5 linked regions of the Sus scrofa genome follow. The protein of the gene in region 5 interacts with the protein of the main gene of each other region in a pairwise test. Links are inferred from orthologs where the notes say so. Each region holds a gene or a part of one and is shown on either strand. Other genes may lie near its edges.

Region 1 (3,767 bases), on a different chromosome or scaffold from region 5:
GGGGCCTGATGACCTCGGAAGGGACAGACAAGAGGGCCTTGGGACCGGCTGCGGCCCGCCACTGGCACCGGCAGAGGCAGGAGGAGCTCTGCCTGCCCGTCTGAGCTGCCGTGGGCTCTGCAGAGCCGCCTGGGTGGCTGGATCCCCTGGGGACCCAGGCTGCGCCTGATCCGGGCCCAAAGCACCGCCTGCGGCTCGGGTGCAGCTGGTTCCCTGCAGGGTGGACAGTCAAGGACACCAGTCCGTCGTGTGCGAGCCTTCCAAACGCACCTGAATCACGCACCCCAGCACTCAGATGCTCCCAGCGCCACCGACATACCTGTCCCACTTGGGGATGCGTCGCAGCCCTGTGAGCCTGAGCCCAGGGAACAGGAGGTGGCGGAGGCCCCGCTTCCAGAGAGCGCCGAGCCCGCGGCAGAGCAGACGTCCGCGTGCAGCAGGAGGTGGAGCAGGCCGCTGGACGCTGAGAGGGCGTCGCTGTTCTGGGCGTCGGCTGGCTCCTCGCCCTTTGGGGACAGGGAGGAGACACCGGATCATGCATCGCGCTCAGAGTGAGGCCCGTCTGCACAAACACCCGGGACACAGTGACCGCCACCCCTTCCTTCGCGTGGCGCCTGCACAGGCCCCACGGTTACTAGGACCACAGTGAGCATCTCAGCGGTGGACGGGACACCACCCATCGCATTCAGTCCAGGAGAGTCCCGCTAAAGACGGCAGCTCTCAGATCCCTGGGGAAAAGCTTCCGCTCCCCCAGGGCAGAAACGGAAGCAGAAGACGCCTCTACAGGACCCCACGGGTGCCCCTCACAGGGGCAGGGCTTCCCGCTCCTGTGCCCCCAGGGTGGGGACGGTGCTGGGCGCGAGGGGGCTGGGCCCGGGCGCACCCCGACCCTCCCATCCTTGGACCCCAGGCCCAGGAGTCAGGAGACAGAGCTGCTGGGAGAACCACCCTGGGTTCCCCTGTCGTTTCCCTGGTGCACAGGCCGGGGACACCCACGCGGCTCCCCCACCGCAGGGCGCCCATGGATGCACCCCCTCAGCTGACGCCGTCCCACGCCTGAGTGCTCAGAACACAGAAGGGTCTAACTGGAACTCACTCCCATCTCATTAGCCAGGAGAGAGGACGCGGAGGTGACCCTCAGGCCTGGGGGCATGGGGACCCGGCCCTGGTTCTGAGCTCCCTCCTGGCCCTGCTCCTTCGCCATGGGCGCCGGCTCCACTCCAAGGGGCTGCATTCTAGACTTCACCCTGACTGCGCTTTATCCTTGAAGGATTCATTCAAAACCCCGAGGCCATGACAAGTCCCCACGTTCCCTGTGGTCCCTGGGCCCTGCAGCGACCGACAGACGGTCACTCTTCCTTCAGACCCCGGGACGCCAGGAGCTCCCTGGCCGACGCTGATGGGGCCTGTTACCTGGAAAACCTTCCTCTCTAGCGCACCTATTGACGGCAAAGTTGCAATGGCTCGGGAGTGACCTCAGTGTGGGGACACCCACGTCTGAGGCCAGGGCGTGGGCATGCCCTGCCCATGGTGCCCACGTCTGCTGCCTGCCTGCCTGCCTTAGAGAAGGGGCATCAGGAGATTCTTACGGTCGTCAGTGCCTTCGGCTGCCGGTCCCAGGCCGAGCCAGGCTTGCAGTCTGGCCCCGCACCTGCCGCCCCCGTGGCCGAGGCGCTGCCCTCGGGGGTCTCCTCCAGCTGCAGCAGGTTGAGCTGCAGGGGCGAGCTTCCGCGGGACTGGAAGAGCGGCGGGGAGGTCCTGCCTGCGGGCCCAGCGGCTGATGGCAGGGTGGCCGGGGTGGCTACACGTGACGCTGGTGGCCCATGCTCTGCCCGAGGACATGCATGTGGCTGTTTGGGGAATGAGGTCTGACCAGGGAACTCAGACTGTGAGGCAGGAGTCACCTGGGATGGAAAGCTAGGCTGGCCGGGGAAGAAGGTCTGGGGCAGGTTCGAGGCCACTGAGGAGAAGGGGTAGCTGGGGACCACCAGCGCCAGGACTGGGGCCAAGGGGCCGGCGAATGCCGGGGGCTGGACCGCAAACTCGTGCTGGGTGTCCACGGGCACCGCGAAGCCGGCGTGGGGTGCTGCTGCCACGGTTCCTGGGACTGGAAACACGGGCAGGGAGTAAGCTGGCACCGGGGCAGGGAAGGGCATTGAGGGACAGCTGGACTGAGACGTGTCCGATGGTGACCAGGCTGTGGCATTCAGACCCAGCAGCGGGGGCCTCTGGGGCACCGGCCCCCCAGACCCAGTGCTTCCCGAGGAGTCACGAGGCTTGACCCGTTTGGACTTCAGTTTTCTGTTCTTCCCGTTTTTTTTCCAAGATGAGTCCACCCCGGAGGGATTTCTTAGTCCAGGAGCAGCTAAAATAATGGGAAAACAGGGAGCGTTAAAGGTAACATTGTGTTGTGTTTCTCGTGACTTCAACTGTCAGAGATCTGCGGAATCTCAGAAACCTGAAGCACAAGACCCATGTTCCCAACGCCACCCGGGGCCACCATCCACCTGGTCGCCCGGATCCTCAGGTGAGAAAAATCAGGGCAAAACGTCAGGTCTTCACAGAACTGGATTCAATCAACTCAAAGGACTATCCTCTGTTGCAAGGTCACATTGCTCGTGTTCTTCTGACATTAAAGTGCACTTTCTTGGTGTTCCCGTTGTGGCTCAGGAGTTAACGAATCCGACTAGGAACCCTGAGGTTGTGGGTTTGATCCCTGGCCTCGCTGAGTGGGTTAGGGATCCGGTGTTGCCGTGAGAGCTGTGGTGTAGATCGCAGATGCGGCTTGGATCCGGCATTGCTGTGGCTGTGGTGTAGGCCAGGGGCTACAGCTCCGATGAGACCCTTAGCCTGGGAGCCTCCATATGCCTCGGGTACAGCCCTAGAAAATACAAAAAAAATAAAATAAAATAAAAAATAAAATAAAATGCCCTTTCTTTTATGAAGTAATGGTGACAAGTGGTGTTAAAAGGTTTTATTCGTCCAAAACAGTAGGAAAGCTGGCAAGTTGATGCTGTTCCCCGTTAGAGGTCTGTGAAATCTTAAAGGCAGAACCGAACTTTATCGCTGTTCCTTAAAAAGAGACGTTTCCTGTTTCACCTGCCAAATAAGCCTGCGATTCCACCCCGTGAGGTCAAAGGGTCAGAGGGACACTAGCCCTTGGAACTGGTGCTTCCTCTCTGATGACAAGTGCTGCCAGAGAGGCCTTCTTCAGGACACTGGGGGGACTCCACTGGTGACATGAGGGACTCTGGGCATGTCCCCCCACCTCCCTGGGCCTTGGGGCAGGATGGGCAATGGCCCGGTTCCCAGAAGCCTCAGTTCTCCCTCTCTGTCATAGAGGGTAAATCTGGCCTCTTGCAGCAGGTATGTGGGGACGTCCCCTGCCAGCTCGCCACACGCAGCCAGCTCAAGGCCAACTGCTAAGTGGGTGGAGGTTTTGTGATTCGGCCTGTCTGGTGTTCTTCCCACAGGAAATCTGTCCCCTGTTGGGACTAGCAGCTAAAGCACTGGGCTCCTGGGATAGCACACCAGGGTCCGGGCAGGGCTGCTGTGGACAGCTGTGCAGTCTGGGCACTGCACAAACTGCTGGGCCAAGGGGCCGGAGGGGGCTGGACTCCTGCAGCAAGCTGTGGCCACGGTTGGGGGGTGTACCTTTTCCCAATTTCCACCGAGGTCCCCCATGTGCTGGCAGTGACCCTGAGCCTAGTGAGGAAGGGGAAAGGAGAGGGGAAGATACAATCCTCAAGGAGGGTGTCGGCCTCTCA
Region 2 (3,767 bases), on a different chromosome or scaffold from region 5:
TTTTCACTCCTCTGGATCCTTTATGGGAATGAGAATCCATAAATAGGGAACTATTATTATACATAAACCTATAAAGTCATCAAACATAGTATATAGTTCTCCAGTCCACTCCACACACATGCACACACATGCACACACACACACACACACACACACACACACACACACACACAGTATATGCATCCTTTATAAGCGTCTCTATATACATCATACATGTTTTCTTAGAATTTCCTGTCTCTCTCGTTAGACTTTGAGGTCAATGAGAGTAGTAATTCATCCTTATATAACAGAGGAATTAAAAATCATTATGAGAGAAGCCAGGCAGATAATATAAAAGAATGAAGCTGAATAATGGGAGACCTTGGGAAGCCAGAGGACAGTGGCAGAATTCCCATATCTTATTTATCATAAGGGGACAGCTCTGTTCAGTTTTAGATTTCTATCCCTTCTGTAGAAATGGTCCAGTTTAACAGATTTTATGCTTATATGAAAGAATCATGATAGCAAGATAGATTTTATAATCTCTCAACTTTTAAGCATTTGCAACTAAATAATACTTTGAGCCATAAAGCTGGGCCCCACTTGATGAAAAACTGCTGTGATGAAATTCCTCCAGGTAGTAAATATACACACATATTGTGATTTCTAATGAATGAACTTAATATGAGGATAAAAGCATGATCATGAAGAAGCATAATTAGATGCAAACTATTGCCTTTGGAATAGATTAGCAATGAGATCCTACTGTGCAGCACAGGGAACTATGTCTAGTCACTTACGATGGAGCATGATAATGGGAAAAAAATAATGTATACATGTATGTGTAACTGGGTCACCATGCTGTACAGTAGAAAAAAAAATTATATTGGGGAAATGACTATTAAAAATAAAAAAAAGCATAATTAGGTAGTACCTCTTACATTATCTTTGTTAAAATTCTTTCTGCATAATTGAGTTTTCGTAGGAACTCAAAGATATTAGAGCTTCTGAAGAGGGCCTAGAGTACTGGCAGTCAGTGTTTCAGACTAAGAAAGGACTGTAAGCTTTGGCATTCAGACTTAAATGACAAGGTTAATGTTCTGTTTAAAATGGGTAATATACAATGCCTCCATACAGAAACCACCATGTTTAAATGTTAGGTGTTTTGTTTATAGTTACTTGACTACAAAGTTCTGCTTTTCTTTTTTCCATTTAGCATAAGCAACAGTGACACCTAATCAGAGCCATAACCATCTCCCCGACAAAAAATAAATATATGAGCACACTGAGTCCCTTTTGAGGAATCAGGGCATACATATTTACTTAATACATTTGTAACATCCTCTAAGTTTATATTATTCTTATGTTAAGAAAGCAAAACCTATAAACATTATCACATCTCTTACCTCAAAATCAATATCTGCACAACAGCTGCAGACAACACATGGACCAGTAATTTTTAGTACGTCTTCTCGCCTCTCATTTTGAACTGTAAACCTTGGCAAGCATGGGTGCCAGGTTTGAGTAACATAACCTACTGGTATGCCAGGAGGAGCTTGGATTTCTATCTACAAAAGCAAAAGAATATATAAATTGTAATCATAAAAATGTCTAGTAAGAACTCTCATTTACTGAACCCCTTCTAATGTTAGGCACTGTTTTAGTTCGCACCATGTCTTTACCAGGTTGGTACTATCATCTCTATTTATAGAGGAAGTAACTGATGAACAGTGAGGCTAACTAACTTGCATCAGATTCCCCAGATGCAAAGTAGAAGATGAGCTATAAACTCACAATCCCCACTCTGAGCACTGCTCTACTGGTCTCTTAGATTTTAAATTTTTTATACTTAGGAAAAATGTATGGGTGACCCTGAGAGCATCTCAGCATGTTCATCTGTAAATGAGGATTTCCTGTTTATTAAAACCAATAGTATAAAGTATGCTAATGTGCTCTACAAATTGTGGAAAATATTCTATCAAATCAGTTTTCCCTCAACTATTCCTATAAATATTATCACATCTAAATTAAATAACATGAAAACCAAAATTCAGTTTAAATAAGTTCTTTTATCTTTTCAAAATAAGTGCAGTATTAGACATCAGATCTTTATGTGCCTGTGTCTCTGTCTGCCCTGCTCTCACAGCTCCCTGTGCGGATGACCGAGTGACCCAGGCAGTGCTGGGCTCAGGTCAGTGGGGATCTAGGCAAAGGCCAACTTCCTATAAACACTCTGTGCACTGGCATCTCCCTGAGATCTGTGTTCTCTATCAGAGGGCTGTCAAGTACTATGAAAGAGACACCTGGTCTCTCTAGAGCTGAAGGGGTTCACAACCAGCACATCCATATTGCAGGGACTCAAATACAGTACTTTTTTCCAGTGGAGAACTGAAAACAACAGCAGTTGAAATTTCTCAGAGGAAGCCTCTGCTAGGTTTGGTCCTTGTAGGTTGGCGAAAATTGAGATGAACGTATCTGTGCTTTTCCCCATTCTTTTGTTCACTTGCCTCTGGGATGGCGTTCTAGGATATCCTACAGGGTGTCCTCCTTGGGCTTTGGCCAAGCCCCTCATGGTCATTTCAGGTGGGGTACTTCACTAAGGTGCCCTGCCTTCTCGGCTCTCCCTGAAGATCAAGAAGTCTGGCCTCTGAGACCTCTGATCTCCCAGGATGTGCACTGTTCAGGGACATGGGGCTAATTGTTCACTCTTTCTCACCTGCCTTCCTTCCTGTACAACTTACTCTCAAGCAAAAACCAATAGCTTATGGACTTATTTTCCTTTAAATCTCATTTGATTCCATAAATTCAATGATGAGGTGAAAATTCCTGCAGGATTACTTTGCAAAATATTTGCAAAAATTACCCTGGCACTTGCTTACCAACCTCTTGCAGGCAGCAGGGGAAACAACAGCTGGTACATCTTAGTGGTCTCTCCAGAGTTATGACTTCTCGGCCCATATTATCAAGAATTCTCATGGTGAAAGGCCTAGAAGGCCCACAGCAGTTTCTAGTACAGCAATCAGTGTCCTCTGCTGCAAAGTAAATCCTCTGTCCAAGGCTGTTCTTGATTTCATATTTGTTATTAGTTTCAAAGCCTGTTAAGACTAAAAACATATAAGAGGGAATCATTATGACTATTGTGTTAAAAAATAATAAATGTATCCTGGAGTTCCCATCATGGTGTAGTGGTTAACAAATCCGACTAGGAACTATGAGGTTGCGGGTTCGATCCCTGGCCTTGCTCAGTGGGCTAAGGATCCGGCGTTGCCATGAGCTGTGGTGTAGGTTGCAGATGTGGCTCAGATCCCAAGTTGCTGTGGCTGTGGCGTAGGCCAGTGGCTACAGCTCTGATTAGACTCCTAGCCTGAGAATCTCCATATACCTCAGGAGTGGCCCTAGAAAAGGCAAAAAGACAAAAAAAAACAAAAAACAAAAAAGAAAAAATAAAAGAGAAATGTATCCTAAGATACTACAATATCTAGCTATACCATTTTTATTTATTTATTTATTTATTTATTGTCTTTTTTGCCATTTCTTGGGCCGCTCCCGCGGCATATGGAGGTTCCCAGGCTAGGGGTCTAATCGGAGCTGTAGCTGCCAGCCTACGCCAGAGCCACAGCAACGCAGGATCCGAGCCGTGTCTGCGACCTACACCACAGCTCAGGGCAACGCCGGAACATTAACCCACTGAGCAAGGGCAGGGATCGAACCCGCAACCTCATGGTTCCTAGTCGTATTTGTTAACCACTGCACCACGACGGGAACTCCCCCTATTTATTTATTTTTTA
Region 3 (4,408 bases), on a different chromosome or scaffold from region 5:
TGGGGGTGGGGGGGGTGGGGGGTGGGGGGGAGCCAGGGCAAGGGTTCTGTGTAAAAGCTGGACACAGGATGGTTAAAGAATAACCCAGAAAAAAACAAAGCCAGAAAACACAAAATAAAGGATTCGGAAGCCTGGATTCTCAGTCTTCTCTCCTTGAAAATGTCCCCCCAACTCCTATACTGTGGCCTAATCCCTGGTCCTATCAGACACCTCTTCTGGAGACACGGTTTTTCTTCGTCCTCAGCACTCCTCAGGGCTTTAGATGTGACCTCCCCCGACACAGGCAGTCCTTGCCCTCCGCCTCCATATTTTTCTCTGGCGTGGACAAAAGGGTCCAGGGCTCCAGCAGCTCCCACTTGCTCTCAAGGCTCTAACCGAGATCCTGCCTCCCGATCCCCACAGTAACCAGGCCCTGCTGCCGTCAATGGAAGAGAGGGGGCGGGAGACGGCGGTGACGTCAAAGCGGAGGATGGGGCGGGGCGAGGCAGCCGGGGAATGTGGGGCAGGGAGGCCGGAGAGGCAGCGGTTTGGGAGGCGGCCAGCCCAAGAGGGCGGCGGCCAGCGCACTTGGGAACATCATGTTCTTTTGGCTGGTAGCCCAGGACATGCACCCAGCCTGGGCGCCTCCCCCAACCCAACGACAGCCGTCCGGTCCCAAAGCCAGGGATTCCTGGAGAGAGGATTAGGAGGAAGGGGTGCTTCCCCCGCCCCCACTCCAGGCTCTCTTCTGGAGACTCGCATCCACCCTCCCTCGGCTGGTTCCTACAGCTCCTGGCATTGGCTTTCCCCCCTCCCAGACTGTACACATCTGCTGGCCCGGTCCCAAAGAGCCAGGGCGGGGAAGTTGGAGGCCCAGGTTCTGCAAGAGAACACGCACCTTTGCTCCTTCCCTGAGGCCCCCTTCAAAGCCTGAATGTCTTGTTACCATGGCAGCAGAGAGAGGGAGGAGGGACAGGGAGGAGAATGGGTCAAGGATGAGGAAATCGAACTGGGACAGAGCAAGTGGCCCAGCCTGGGGCCTGGATCTTGGGGGAGGGATAAAAGAGAGGAATGAGGGACTGGGGCTGGTGCTCCAGCCCAGAAGAACCAGGAAGAGGAGAACAGGGAGGGAGTCACTAAAAGTTGCAAAAAAGCTTAAGAATGTGAGCATTGTCAGTCCCTAACCACAGCATTCACAGAAATCTTTCACCCATTCCTGTTACTGTCACCATACAGCCATATTTTTTAGCTAAAAAAAATTTTTTTTAAATATGACCCAGGCATTTTGCTGAGTACTTTACATACATTAACTTATTTAATCTTCAGAACAAGCCTGTGAGATAGATATCATTATCCCCATTGCACAAAGACCGACTAAGGCTCAGAAGTTACTAAACTTGCCTAAGTTGCTTCATAATATGTTCTCTGACTCTTAACAAATGGGGCCCAGGATTCGAATCTGAACTCTGTTAATGGCTTGTCGTTCTGGCTTCTTACCCTTCAAGAACCTGTGAGGTGTTACCACCTCTGGGGGACCTGGGCCTCTCAAATACCCAGCCCATTCTGAGTTTGGTGCCTGAAACACAGATGCCATCCCCCCCGCCCCAACAGTCAGTCTGCACTCTCTACACACTTCAAATCGCATTGTCCCAGTTTTCATATTCTCACAAAGTCCTTGAGATCACCCTGGCAGCCACTAGCCCCAGTGATCTGCTAGGAACCCCACTTCCTGACTCCTCCACCTCATCACAGGTCACTTTACCACAGGCCTGGTTACTTGTACAGACAGATACCAGAGCACCCAGTTCCTGCCTCCTCCCCTCCAAGGACTCAGGAAGACACACGTGCATCCAATCTGCACAAATCCATCCTCCCTCTTGAGATCCAATAGTTCCTACCCCACGCTCACTCCCAAGGATGGCTCCGAGGCCCAACCCCTTCTTTTTACACATGAGAGAGACATCCAGAGCCACAGCCAAGATGTGACTGGCTCAGGGTCACATAAATCATCACACCACCCTTTTTCAAGTCACCTTGTCAATCCCTTGGTACCCACCCACCTGCCCTACCAGGGCCTCTCTCTAGCTTCACAACTCCTGCTTTTTTTTTTTTTTTCCTTTTTACTGCTGGCCGCAAATGAGGCATGAGTTCCCCGGCCAGAGGTTCAATCGGAGCTGCAGCTGGAGCAACCGGCACAGCCACGGGCAACAAGGAATCCGAGCTGCATCTGCGACCTACGCTGCAGCTGATGATCCTTAACCCACTGAGTGAGGCCAAGGGATAGAACCTGCATCCTCACAGAAACGGCGTCCTTAACCGAAGAAGCAACAACGACGAGAACTTCTCCCTCCACCGCCCTGGCCTCTTTCAAGTGCTTAAGGCACCTACCCGAGCAACAGTCACGCACTGGAACGTCCCCCACTGGTTCTAAAGGGTCCGGTACCTCCTGGGAGCAGAGGTCTCAGCTCCCTCAGGCTGCCGAACGCTTCCGAACCCCTCCCCGCGGCAGTCAGGGATCCAGGCACCTTGGAATAGCGAGGGATCTTAAATCAGTGATTCCTGCTCCCTTCTCTCTAGAACTGAGTTCGCGGCCCCTATTCCCTGCAACCACTAGAGCTCCCACCGCGGCGATCACATATCCACACATTCTCCTTCACGGTACTGCATTAACATTCCTCCTTACGCCACGCGGGAAAAACCTATACCAATCGCCGCCGCTCCCCGCTCCCCACCCCACCACGCCGGAGCACTCACCGCTCGGCTCTCACGCGCGGTACAGTTTCTTCCCAACTAGGATCTCGGAGACTTGGACTCGCTCCTTCAGCCTCGCCCGCCGACCAGGACGCCACGCCCCTCAAGCTTATTGGCCTAAGGGCGCCGACCCATGCCCCGCGCCGCGTGCGGGGCCCCCCCCGCCTCCGCCCAGCTACCATTGGCACCGCCCGCCGCCGTCACCTTCTCATTGGTCAGTTTGCCTACCAAGCGACAGATCCACGTGCGGGAGGGGCCGCCCTAGCGCGTTGATTGGAGGTCTGAGGAAAGACACGCCCCCACTCACATCCGAAATTCTTATTGGCTGTGACTCCACCCCCGGCCTGCCTAGATTGGTGACGCAAACGTCAGTCCAGCCCTCCCAATTTTCTCATAGGCTGAGACATTCCGGAGCTGTAGAGGACACGTGCAGGCGGTCTCACGCGGCAAGTTGTTTACCTAGAAGCTGGGGATTTTCCTTGACGACACTCTTACCCTAGACTGCCGAGTCTGCGCAGGCGCAGATGTGAGCGCCCGTAACTTTGTGGGGGGCGCTTTGAGAGCCGTCCCGTGCGTGACAAGAGCGCCCCCGCGCTGGGACTCTGGACCTGAAACTCCCAGTAGCTGGAAGGTGTGAGCATTAGGTGAAGCGGTCTTCAGGTCTCCGTACCGCGTGACGATGATGACAAAAAGATGATAGCCACCTCCCAGATTATTTTCTGTGGCCAGGCCACGCGCTTCTTATAAAGCCGGAAGAGGCGGCGGCTCACTTCCCACCGCCTCACTAATGATACTGAGATTCAGAGAGGTTACATAATCTGTCCGGAAGAACAAGCTAGTCTCTAATGGGATCATGATTTGAACCCAGATCTCCCACATAAAGAAGGCGGGTCCAAGAGCCTGCGGGAATCCTAAGCCTGTAAAGAACTCAGTAGATGAAGGGTAAAAAGGCTCTTAGTACCTGTCCTGAAAATAGTAAGCCCTCAACAAATGGTGAACATTATGATAATGACTGTATACCTAATTATAAGAATCACTTGGTCCCTTACAACTGCTGACTCAATCTCCGGGGAAGGGGCCTGAAAATCTATTTTAAAAAGCATTCCTGGTAGTTCTCATGAGCCGACAAGTTTAGGAAACATTATCGAGATTTCCTATGCGGAACCCTCATGTTGCCGCCCAGAAAAATGGGCCCTCCGGAGCTCACCTAGCACTCCCACCTACTGTTGAAGTGCCCGGGGTCAGAGATGCAAGGGTACCACATCGGCTGCATTTGTTGCTGGAGATTAAGAGTTCAGTGTGGGGGTCCAGAGTCACCAGTCTGACTGCACACAGGGCAGGGGTGGCAAGCCCTGCAGCCGACTCCACACCACACTCACCTCTGTCTCCCTGAGCCGTTTTGTTCAATTAGTATTTATTAACCCTTCTGGATGTTAGCACTGTTCTAGGCACAAAGGGGAAGAGATGTTTCCCAGTTGTCCACCTATTTCAGGTCTAGGAGTAAATGACCACAGGAGCAACTGCGTAACACCTGAGAGTTAAGTCAAGGAGTAGAAAGGGATCCAAGAAACAGCAAAATGCCCTCAGAAAAGGAATGGGGGGAAAGCTGAGAAGCCCAGACCGCAGGGTTCACCAGGCTGAGGCCCTGGGCTCATGAACACATTATCGATTCCTGGTG
Region 4 (3,767 bases), on a different chromosome or scaffold from region 5:
CAGGCTTAGTTCCACTTTGTCTGAAGTTACACATAGTAAGATTGACTTGTATCAATGGCTCTGAGATGGCTTTTATGAAGACAGTACATAAAAGCTGTTCTCTCCTTGTCCAGTAAGCTTCACAGACTGTAAAACTCCATCAGTAATGCACTTTGATACTGTAGCTGTTGCCAAAGCAACATGTAGTGTTTACAGCGGCCATGGCAAGTCGCTAAAGTCAACAGGGCCACCCAGCCCAGCATCTGCTTCCAAGAGGCTCATTATGACAGCCATTGCTGCTTCATCATTACTGGGACTGCTTGAGCCTTGATCGTTGTCTATCATGTCTATGCCTATGTGAGGGTTCTCACCTATGGGGGGAGATAAAGACTGGTCAGTGATAGTACCAAAGCATGTTTAACTACAGTAAGCAGTTCCTAAGCACACTTAATAACTTTCTTAACAGTAGGGTGAGAAGGATGAGAGATGCTGCTTGGGGGCTGGATTGCCACATATGTTTTAACCTTGGTGTTTTTCAGAGGGAAGAACCAACTTTTTAAGAACAAAGTACTTAAAACACCATAAAAATTAAAAGTATCTGAGTTGACCTCATTTTAATAATCTGATATAACCAGCTATAAGGAGGGAGTTAAAGAAGGAAAGAAATAGGAAGGTAGAGATTAGGGGGGAAAGATTTAGAAAGGTAAGTAGAGAAAAAGATGAGTAGGATGGGAGAAGCAAACTCTTATTTTCTTTTTAGGGCCTCACCTGTGGCACATGGAAGTTCCCAGGTGAGGTTGAATCGGAGCTACAGCTGCCGGCCTGCACCACAGCCATAGCTACACCAGATCCGAGCCACGTCTGTGACTTACACCACAGCTCATGGCAACTCGGGATCCTTAACCCACTGAGCAAGGTCAGGGATCAAACCTGCAGCCTTATGGCTAATAGATTTGTTTCCGCTGCCCCACAACAGGAACTCCAGGAGAAGCAAACTCTTTATCCCTTAATGACTTTTAATATCCTCTGAAATGCTGACTGATCACCGTTTTAGGCATTATCTCTGAACCTCCATCCGATATCCCCTCTGAAGAGATTATGTTCCACATGCTGGGAGAAAGCCTGTGTCAAGGCTCCTCTAGCATCCTCCTGAGTTGCAGGGACAAACCTGGACCTGCACCAGCACCAGCACCCAATCATTAAACTTGTTCTTATCAAGTTTACCTAGAACTAGCTCGTTTTGCATGTTCAGTTCTTAAGATTGACTTTATGCCAGATTTTTTTTTTAAAAGCTCATTGCAATGGAAATAGGTAATAATGCTACTTACCAAGAATAGAAGAGCTATCAGAATATGGATAACCTGGGTTCTCCTGAGCCTGTCCTGGGAGTAGGCCACTAGAAGGAATGTCTGGAGTCCCTCCATTTAAAATCTACAAACAAAAGTGAAGTTTTCACATCATCAACATTTTGCATCAGTAGTATATGTGATGTCACCAAGAAAATGAAGCAGGTTGAAAAGAGGAAGGTGAGAAAAAGCTTAAAATTAAGGCTTTGGTTTCTTACTGGATGATTTCACCTAAGAGACTATTAGGAATGGTCACGGTAAGGAAAAAAAAAACAACACTCTCCCCCAAACTGTTCTCCTTTTTGTATTCCATTCAGCCCACACAGGCAATTTAAGGGCTGAATAAAATCCCTAGAGCATTCATTAACTTGAATCATGCTGTTCACATGTTCTTTAAGGCCAAGGACTAAACCTCAATGAGCCCAGGTGGGCAGGTCCCCTGTAAGGGAGTAAAAAAACGTCTTATAGCAACAGATGTTGCTAAAGAAGAAATAAAGATTATACTGTGAAGAGACACAGCTCTGAGGAGTCGCAAATAAACAAAACACTAGAGATAAATCACTAGTTAAACCTCAAATGCCAGTTTCAGTAATCAGTTGTTGAGAGACTGCTGAGAATTTTTATTACCACTCCTCAGAAGCAGAGCTCTCTGTCTCCCTCCAGCTTCCTCCTCCTGACATGAGTCTCACAAACACCTTTGAGAAGTATTTGGATGTAAGTGAGGAAACGGTTTGGTAGAGGCTTGGATTTCAGGAGGCAGTGATTGCAGGCCTTGCCGGTATATGGCATTACAACCACCCCATAACAACTTTTTGACAAGATTGTCAAAAAGACTACACTCTGAAAAATGAGGAAGCCAAAGAATTTATTTAGGCTATATCATTATTTGCTATATTTGAAGTTGAAACTAATATATTTTTGGAATATGAAAAACTTATTACATATTACCATGAAAAGCAATTTAATGAAAAATAATTTTCCAAAGCATCAAAAAGTGAGAAATGTCGTTTTACATTTTTTTGCAAATCAAATGTCTGGCTTAACAGTTTAACTGGATTCTCATTTGCTTCTCAATTCAAGCTGTTTAGATGTGTTTGAAAAGCATTTATGAAGGAAATCAGGGCTCTCTAGATACGCAGTTGGAAAAGGGAGATGTATTTTAATAGTCTTTTCAAATAATCATGGTCTGCCTCTTTGATATTACATCAAAACTCAGCAAGTGGAAGTTCTTAAAGATCAGCTGCAATGTGGGATTTGAAACCATATGAGTTTATCTTGGCATTTATGATGGATCTTTTACCTCTGTGTGATTTTGAAATATCTTACATTGGTCATTTGCAAAATACTGGTTCACTAAGCTACGCAGGATCTTCCAAACATAGGCACATTTCACTGTCCAGCATCAAAACATCACTATTGCTGGAGAACCTATTGTGGCTCAGCAGAAACAAATCTGACTAGCATCCATGAGGACACAGGTCCAATCCCTGGCCTCACTCAGTGGGTTAAGGCTCTGGCATTGCTGTGAGCTGTGGTGTAGGTCGCAGACGCTGCTTGGATCTGGTGTTGCAGGCAGTGAACTACAGCTCTGATTCAACCCCTAGCCTGAGAATCTCCACATGCCACAGGTGCAGCCCTAAAAAGAAAAAACAAAACAAAAAAAAAATCACCGTTGTTGATATTACCTATATCATCAAATAATATCTTTTAAGTTTGGGGAAGCATTTGAGCTCAAAGCAGTAGATCGAAATTTTCTAAAAATTCTAAATTTTGCTTGAAAGTTAAAATTTTATCACTATCATTGTTTTCCTTGAAATCACAGGTTCATTAATTTTCAAGAAATTGCATGTTAAATACTCAAGTCTGAAAACCACAGTTTGTGATGATAAAAATGATGTCCTATGGAAAAGGCATTTGGTTCAGCTTATAACTTAAATAGTCACACAAGTGCTTCCTCGAGACAACCGTCATACTTTAAGCACAAGTGCTTTAAGCGTACTTGCCATTTTGTAACAGTAGTAAAAAGATTTAGTCAAGGATATTATAAGACTATTTTACTGATTTATGAAGAACATTCTAAGTAGCTTTTAAATTTACCATTTTTTTTATTGTGAGTATGTGGTGGTGAGATCCAGTGAGTACTAGTACAGTACAAGCGTGATTTTTGCAAAAGCACCCGTAGTTTTACCCAACATTGCTTTTGTACTATCAGTTCATATTTCAACACAGTGAGAAAAAGTGTTTTAGCATTATGATGGAAATAATTTTGGCCATGCAGACCCCTGAAAAGATCCCTTCTCCCCCACCCCCACCAAAAAGCCACAGAGGATTAGGCAACTGCTGCTTTATCTGACCCTGCCTTGGTGCCTCTACATGTCTTAACTCTCCCTGAACCTCTGAAGCTCACTAAGCCTCCTTTTTTTTTTTTTTTTTTTTTTTTTT
Region 5 (4,516 bases):
GTTGCTTCTCAATCTCCTATGCTGTTTCTTCCACAGCTCCACAATTTCAACACATTAGAGGCCCAAGGCTCATTTCCTGATTTTGGGTTTTGGGGGTTTGTTTTTCTTCTGGGTCTTTTCCTTTTTATTTTTGTGGCCTCACCTGCAGTTGGAAGTTCTTGTGCTAGGGGTCAAATGAGAGCTGCAACTTAGACCTATGCCACAGTCACAGCAACAGTGAATCCAAGCCGCATCTAAGACCTACATGGCAGCTTGTGGAAACACTGCATCCTTAACCCACTGAACAAGGCCAAGGATGGAACCTGCATTGTCACAGAGACAACATTGGTTCCTTAATCCACTGAACCACAACGGGAACTCCCCAAGGCTCAGTTCTTGGACCTCCTCTCTTTTCTACCTATACTCACTCTCTTAATGTTCTGATATAGTCTCATGGCTCTACTAGAATGTAGCTTCAACAAGGTAGAGATTTTTTAGCTATTTTATTTATACTGAATGCCCTGCACCTAAAAGTATCTGGCATGTAGATGAATGACCTGAATTTGTTCAATGAATGAATGGATTAATAAATGGCTTTAAATATTATCTATAAACTGATAATTCTCTAATTTATACCTCCTGCCTGGGTCTCTGTCCTTAGCTGCAGATATATCCAACTGCCTATCCGCTGTCTCCACTTGGATGTGCAATAAACACCTCAAAATTAACCAAGTTCAAAAGAGAACTCAAATCACCCTTTCAATGGCCTTTCCCACTAATCACTTAGCAAAAAGCAGCTCCATCCTTCTCGTTTCTCAAGTCAAAAAAATTTACATCATTCCTAATTCCTTCTCTTTCTCTTATGTCACACATACAATCTGTTGACAAATACTGTGTGTTCTGCCTTCAACATACACGCAACATTTGACTATTTCTCACTATGTCCACCATGATCACTACAGTCTAAGCCATTATCATATCTCACCTGGATGAAAGCAATGAACTGCTAACTGGTCTTCCTGCTTCTTGCCCACCTCCACTCTACAATTCAGTCTGTTCTCAGAACCACAGCCAGAGACTTTTTTAAAAGCTTGATTCAAATCACATCACTTCTCTGCTCATACTCCTACAGTTATTCCCACTTTGCTATGAGTAAAAGCCCAAATCTTGACAACTGCCTATAAAGCTCTACTCAATCTGGCCCATTACATCTTTGACCTCATTTACTACTTTTCCTCTCATTTACTCTGCTCCAGTAGATCGGTTTCTTCTGCTATTCTTTCCAAAGGTTAAGAATATCTCCATCTCAGGACCTTTTATCTTACTGTTCCTTCTCCCTGGAATGCTTTTCCTTAGGTATCTGTAATCTATTACTTGCTTCATCATCTTGCTCAATATGGGTTTTTCCCTATCACCATATTTTAAATTGCAACTCCAATCCCACCCCGTCGTATTTTTCATCCCCTTTCTCTGTATTTCTGCACATCATTTATCACCACTAAATACTATATACTTTCTGGGACATGTCTTCAAAAAGGACAAGAATTTCTGTCTGTCTCATTCAATAACTGTATCCCTGGTGTTTTAAACAGTGCCTGGTATACAGTAGGTGATCAATAATCTGTCAGCTGAATGAATATTCTCATTCCACCAGGCGGTCTAACAATCATCTAGCCTGGCATTTCGAGAAAAGATGGTAAAACTTCTCTAAGATTTCTTCCAGTGCTCTGAATCCTAGGATTATACTTTGCTTAGAAAGAAAAACTGTGCTGTGTCTAGTCAACCACAAGGAGGAGTTGAAAGAGTTGAGCAAAGGGAAATGTAGTCTTCCTTGCTTTTCCCAAAACAACCTCAAGGTGGAAGAAAACTGGGTTTGGAGGCGACAATACTGAATGAATGATTTTCTCCATTCTATGAGTTACCTAGACACACACAAACGTAAACATTAAAAACCGCAATCCCTTCAGTGTCACACGGCGGCCAAGGAAATCAATCCATGGCCACTTAATTGGAAGGGGTGGTTCTTTAACTCCCCCACTAAGAATTTTCCATAAACGCAGAAGAGTCCTCATCAGCACAGAGATACATAACTCATAGCTGAAGGCCAAGGTGTTCCAGGCTGCCGGCACTCTTCGGCCAGAGAACCATTAAGCCCATTCTATTTAATGCTTAAAGCACCTGCAATAATTAAAACTGCATAAGCACAGCGGTCCCAGGTCTACATTCTTAGATGTGGTCGATCGCACGTAAAGTCCCAATTCATGAAACAACGAAATCAATTTCTCACAGGATTTTGACTCACCTCCACCTGTTGATGCCCACATTGGAAGAGCCGGCGAACCAGGGGTCGAGGATGTAGACGCAGCGGATGGTGTCGGCGCCCTGAATGCACTCCTTCAGGGCGGGGTTGTCGTGAAGCCGGAGCCCCTTTCGGAACCAGTGCACCGCGTTCACCCCCATCCCGGGGGCGCGGTGGGCGGCAGGCGGCGCGGCGGCGCCGCCGAGTTCCTGCCCCGAGAAATTCAGGGCAAGAGGGTCCAGCTCATAACCGACACCCCCGCTTCCAGGAGAATCGCCGCACCCAAGGAGTGAGGAAAGGGCAGCAGAGCGGGGAAAGGAAAAAATGAGTCCGAGTAGGGGACCCGCGAGGGAGAGGGCGCTGCCCGTGCGGCTGGAAGATGAATGGAGATTGCCCAGTCAGCGGAGTCCTGCCGTGACGCCCTTTAAGAGCCGGCACCCGCCACGACCGCCTGGATGAGACGCCTAACTTCGAGGGCTCCGGACCCCCGGAGGATGAGCAAGTTCCACGAGCCCGAGCCGCCACGACGGCCCGAGCCGGCGCGGGCAGCCCCAGGAGATTCGTCACGGAAACCTCGCCCCACGGAGGCGGCCCCTGAAGCGCAAACGGCCCGCCTGAGGCAAACCACCGACAGGGAGGAGAGAGAATTCAGCGACTGTCGGCCACGCTACCTCTCGGCCCAGGAAAGAGGCGTGAGGACGGAACGCTGAGGCGGTGGTCAAAGCCGCTGGACGGTTGCCGGCCCGAGACCGGTCCCGAGGCTGCCCGGGTGACTCCTCCGCCACCGCCGCGTCAGCGGCCTTGGCCCCGCCCTCGGCTCCTCATTGGACAGAGCGCTCCCCACGTGACCCCCGGCACCTCACGTTTCTGAAGTGTGTTTACTACAGCGGCTCTGACTGGGGACTCTGCTCGCTATTCAGTCTCTAATTTTTAGACGGCAGCCGCTCCATCTCAAAACCGTCGACCCTCGCCCAGACGCTAGACTCTCTGCCTCTGTCCTTTCCTCCGCGGACGAGTCGCCGTTGCCTGAAAGCGCCCACGGTGACCAGAGGCCCCGTGTGAGGCAAGATTTAGCCCCGCCCTCGGGGGCCGTGAGCGGCCACCATTGGCCGAGGCTCTCCGAGACCCGGATGAGCACGGGTATGCGGGGAGTTCGCGAGCGCGCGCTCAGTTCCGGTAGGCGCGCGTGCGCACTCGCTGCCTTACGGAGGGAGGCGAGGAAGGCGGGGCCGGGCTGCTGGAGCGCGCTTGGGGCTTTTTCCCGGGGGGTTTCGGGGGAAGGCCAGGAAGCTTCCTGGTGTCTTAACAGGAGGCGGTGGGGGCGCCAGGTGGGGAGTGCGGGCGGTATGCGGTGAAAAGAGCGGAGTAAGAGGCTCCCCTTAGACGTGGAGCCCAAACCATGTGCTTCCTTCCAGCTTGACTGCAGAACCCAACCCTGCCTTGGAGCGTGTAGAGCTGGCGTCCTTCTCATTCTTGTGGCCCTCGAGGCAGAGCACCCTTGCACGTGCTCTGGGGAAGAGGGGTAATTCATAGGATTGGTGCCAGGTGTTACTGCAATTCCTTGATACCATCTGTATATTGTCAACTTGTCAGCCCTAGTTTCTTAAAGTTGGTGCGGTTTATAGGGCTCTTTGTGATGGGGCCTTTGCCTACCTTTCTAGAGGCAATGCTTCATGCTCCAGAGCCTATTATACTTTTAAAAAGTGTTTCATGTTTCATTTTAGGTAGTTTGAAAGTAAGCAGATTGTGTCTAAAGACACAAGAATTATTTTCAAGCATCCAAATGCAACAGTTGTAAGTAGTATTGATTTGTGTAGAATTGCCTTATTTTTGCCTATTGTCCATTCAATAAAGAAGGGTTTTTTTTTTTCTTAAATAGCTGTATGTGGATGTATGTAACTTTCATTACACCTAAAAGTACTAACTTTTTATAAAAGCATCAGTACTGTCAATTGTGCATTCCTCAGAGACTGAAGGGTTTTTAATGGCATATAGATTGTTAATATATCTTTGAGAGGAGTAACCATTTAATAAAAACTTTGACTTAACACCTACTATAGGTCAGGCACTTTATATTGGTTATTATGAGCCCTCATAATAATCTTATGAGGCAGCTTAGTATTACTTAATTTATGCCCACTTTGCAGTTGAAGACATTGAAGCTTCGAAATAAAAATAAATAGATGAAACACCAAGACTGTTTCTGAATCCAAAGCTCTTTCCTTATCACATCCCTCA

Evidence for each region.
Region 1: the proteins of CRY1 (region 5) and PER2 interact in a two-hybrid assay, tested with the Homo sapiens proteins (5 studies listed by BioGRID, with this or other methods). The link is inferred for Sus scrofa from reciprocal best matches to the Homo sapiens genes CRY1 and PER2.
Region 2: the proteins of CRY1 (region 5) and PLSCR1 interact in a two-hybrid assay, tested with the Homo sapiens proteins (2 studies listed by BioGRID and IntAct). The link is inferred for Sus scrofa from reciprocal best matches to the Homo sapiens genes CRY1 and PLSCR1.
Region 3: the proteins of CRY1 (region 5) and PER1 interact in binary tests that used the Homo sapiens proteins (3 or more experiments, as listed by UniProt). The link is inferred for Sus scrofa from reciprocal best matches to the Homo sapiens genes CRY1 and PER1.
Region 4: the proteins of CRY1 (region 5) and ARNTL interact in a two-hybrid assay, tested with the Homo sapiens proteins (3 studies listed by BioGRID, with this or other methods). The link is inferred for Sus scrofa from reciprocal best matches to the Homo sapiens genes CRY1 and BMAL1.

Annotation. Positions count from the first base shown.
Region 1 is NC_010457.5:137,802,493-137,806,259, forward strand, and holds part of PER2 (period circadian protein homolog 2), read right to left. Parts: intron 2,366-3,767; coding exon 1,590-2,365; intron 507-1,589; coding exon 320-506; intron 1-319. UniProt on the Homo sapiens protein: Transcriptional repressor which forms a core component of the circadian clock.
Region 2 is NC_010455.5:86,846,252-86,850,018, forward strand, and holds part of PLSCR1 (phospholipid scramblase 1), read right to left. Parts: intron 3,084-3,767; coding exon 2,863-3,083; intron 1,548-2,862; coding exon 1,386-1,547; intron 1-1,385. UniProt on the Homo sapiens protein: Catalyzes calcium-induced ATP-independent rapid bidirectional and non-specific movement of phospholipids (lipid scrambling or lipid flip-flop) between the inner and outer leaflet of the plasma membrane resulting in collapse of the phospholipid asymmetry which leads to phosphatidylserine externalization on the cell surface.
Region 3 is NC_010454.4:53,373,840-53,378,247, forward strand, and holds the start of PER1 (period circadian protein homolog 1), read right to left. Parts: upstream 2,885-4,408; 5' UTR 2,734-2,884; intron 2,505-2,733; 5' UTR 2,368-2,504; intron 1-2,367. UniProt on the Homo sapiens protein: Transcriptional repressor which forms a core component of the circadian clock.
Region 4 is NC_010444.4:45,895,954-45,899,720, forward strand, and holds part of ARNTL (aryl hydrocarbon receptor nuclear translocator-like protein 1), read right to left. Parts: intron 1,411-3,767; coding exon 1,308-1,410; intron 351-1,307; coding exon 190-350; 3' UTR 1-189. UniProt on the Homo sapiens protein: Transcriptional activator which forms a core component of the circadian clock.
Region 5 is NC_010447.5:13,274,100-13,278,615, reverse strand, and holds the start of CRY1 (cryptochrome-1), read right to left. Parts: upstream 3,068-4,516; 5' UTR 2,440-3,067; coding exon 2,282-2,439; intron 1-2,281.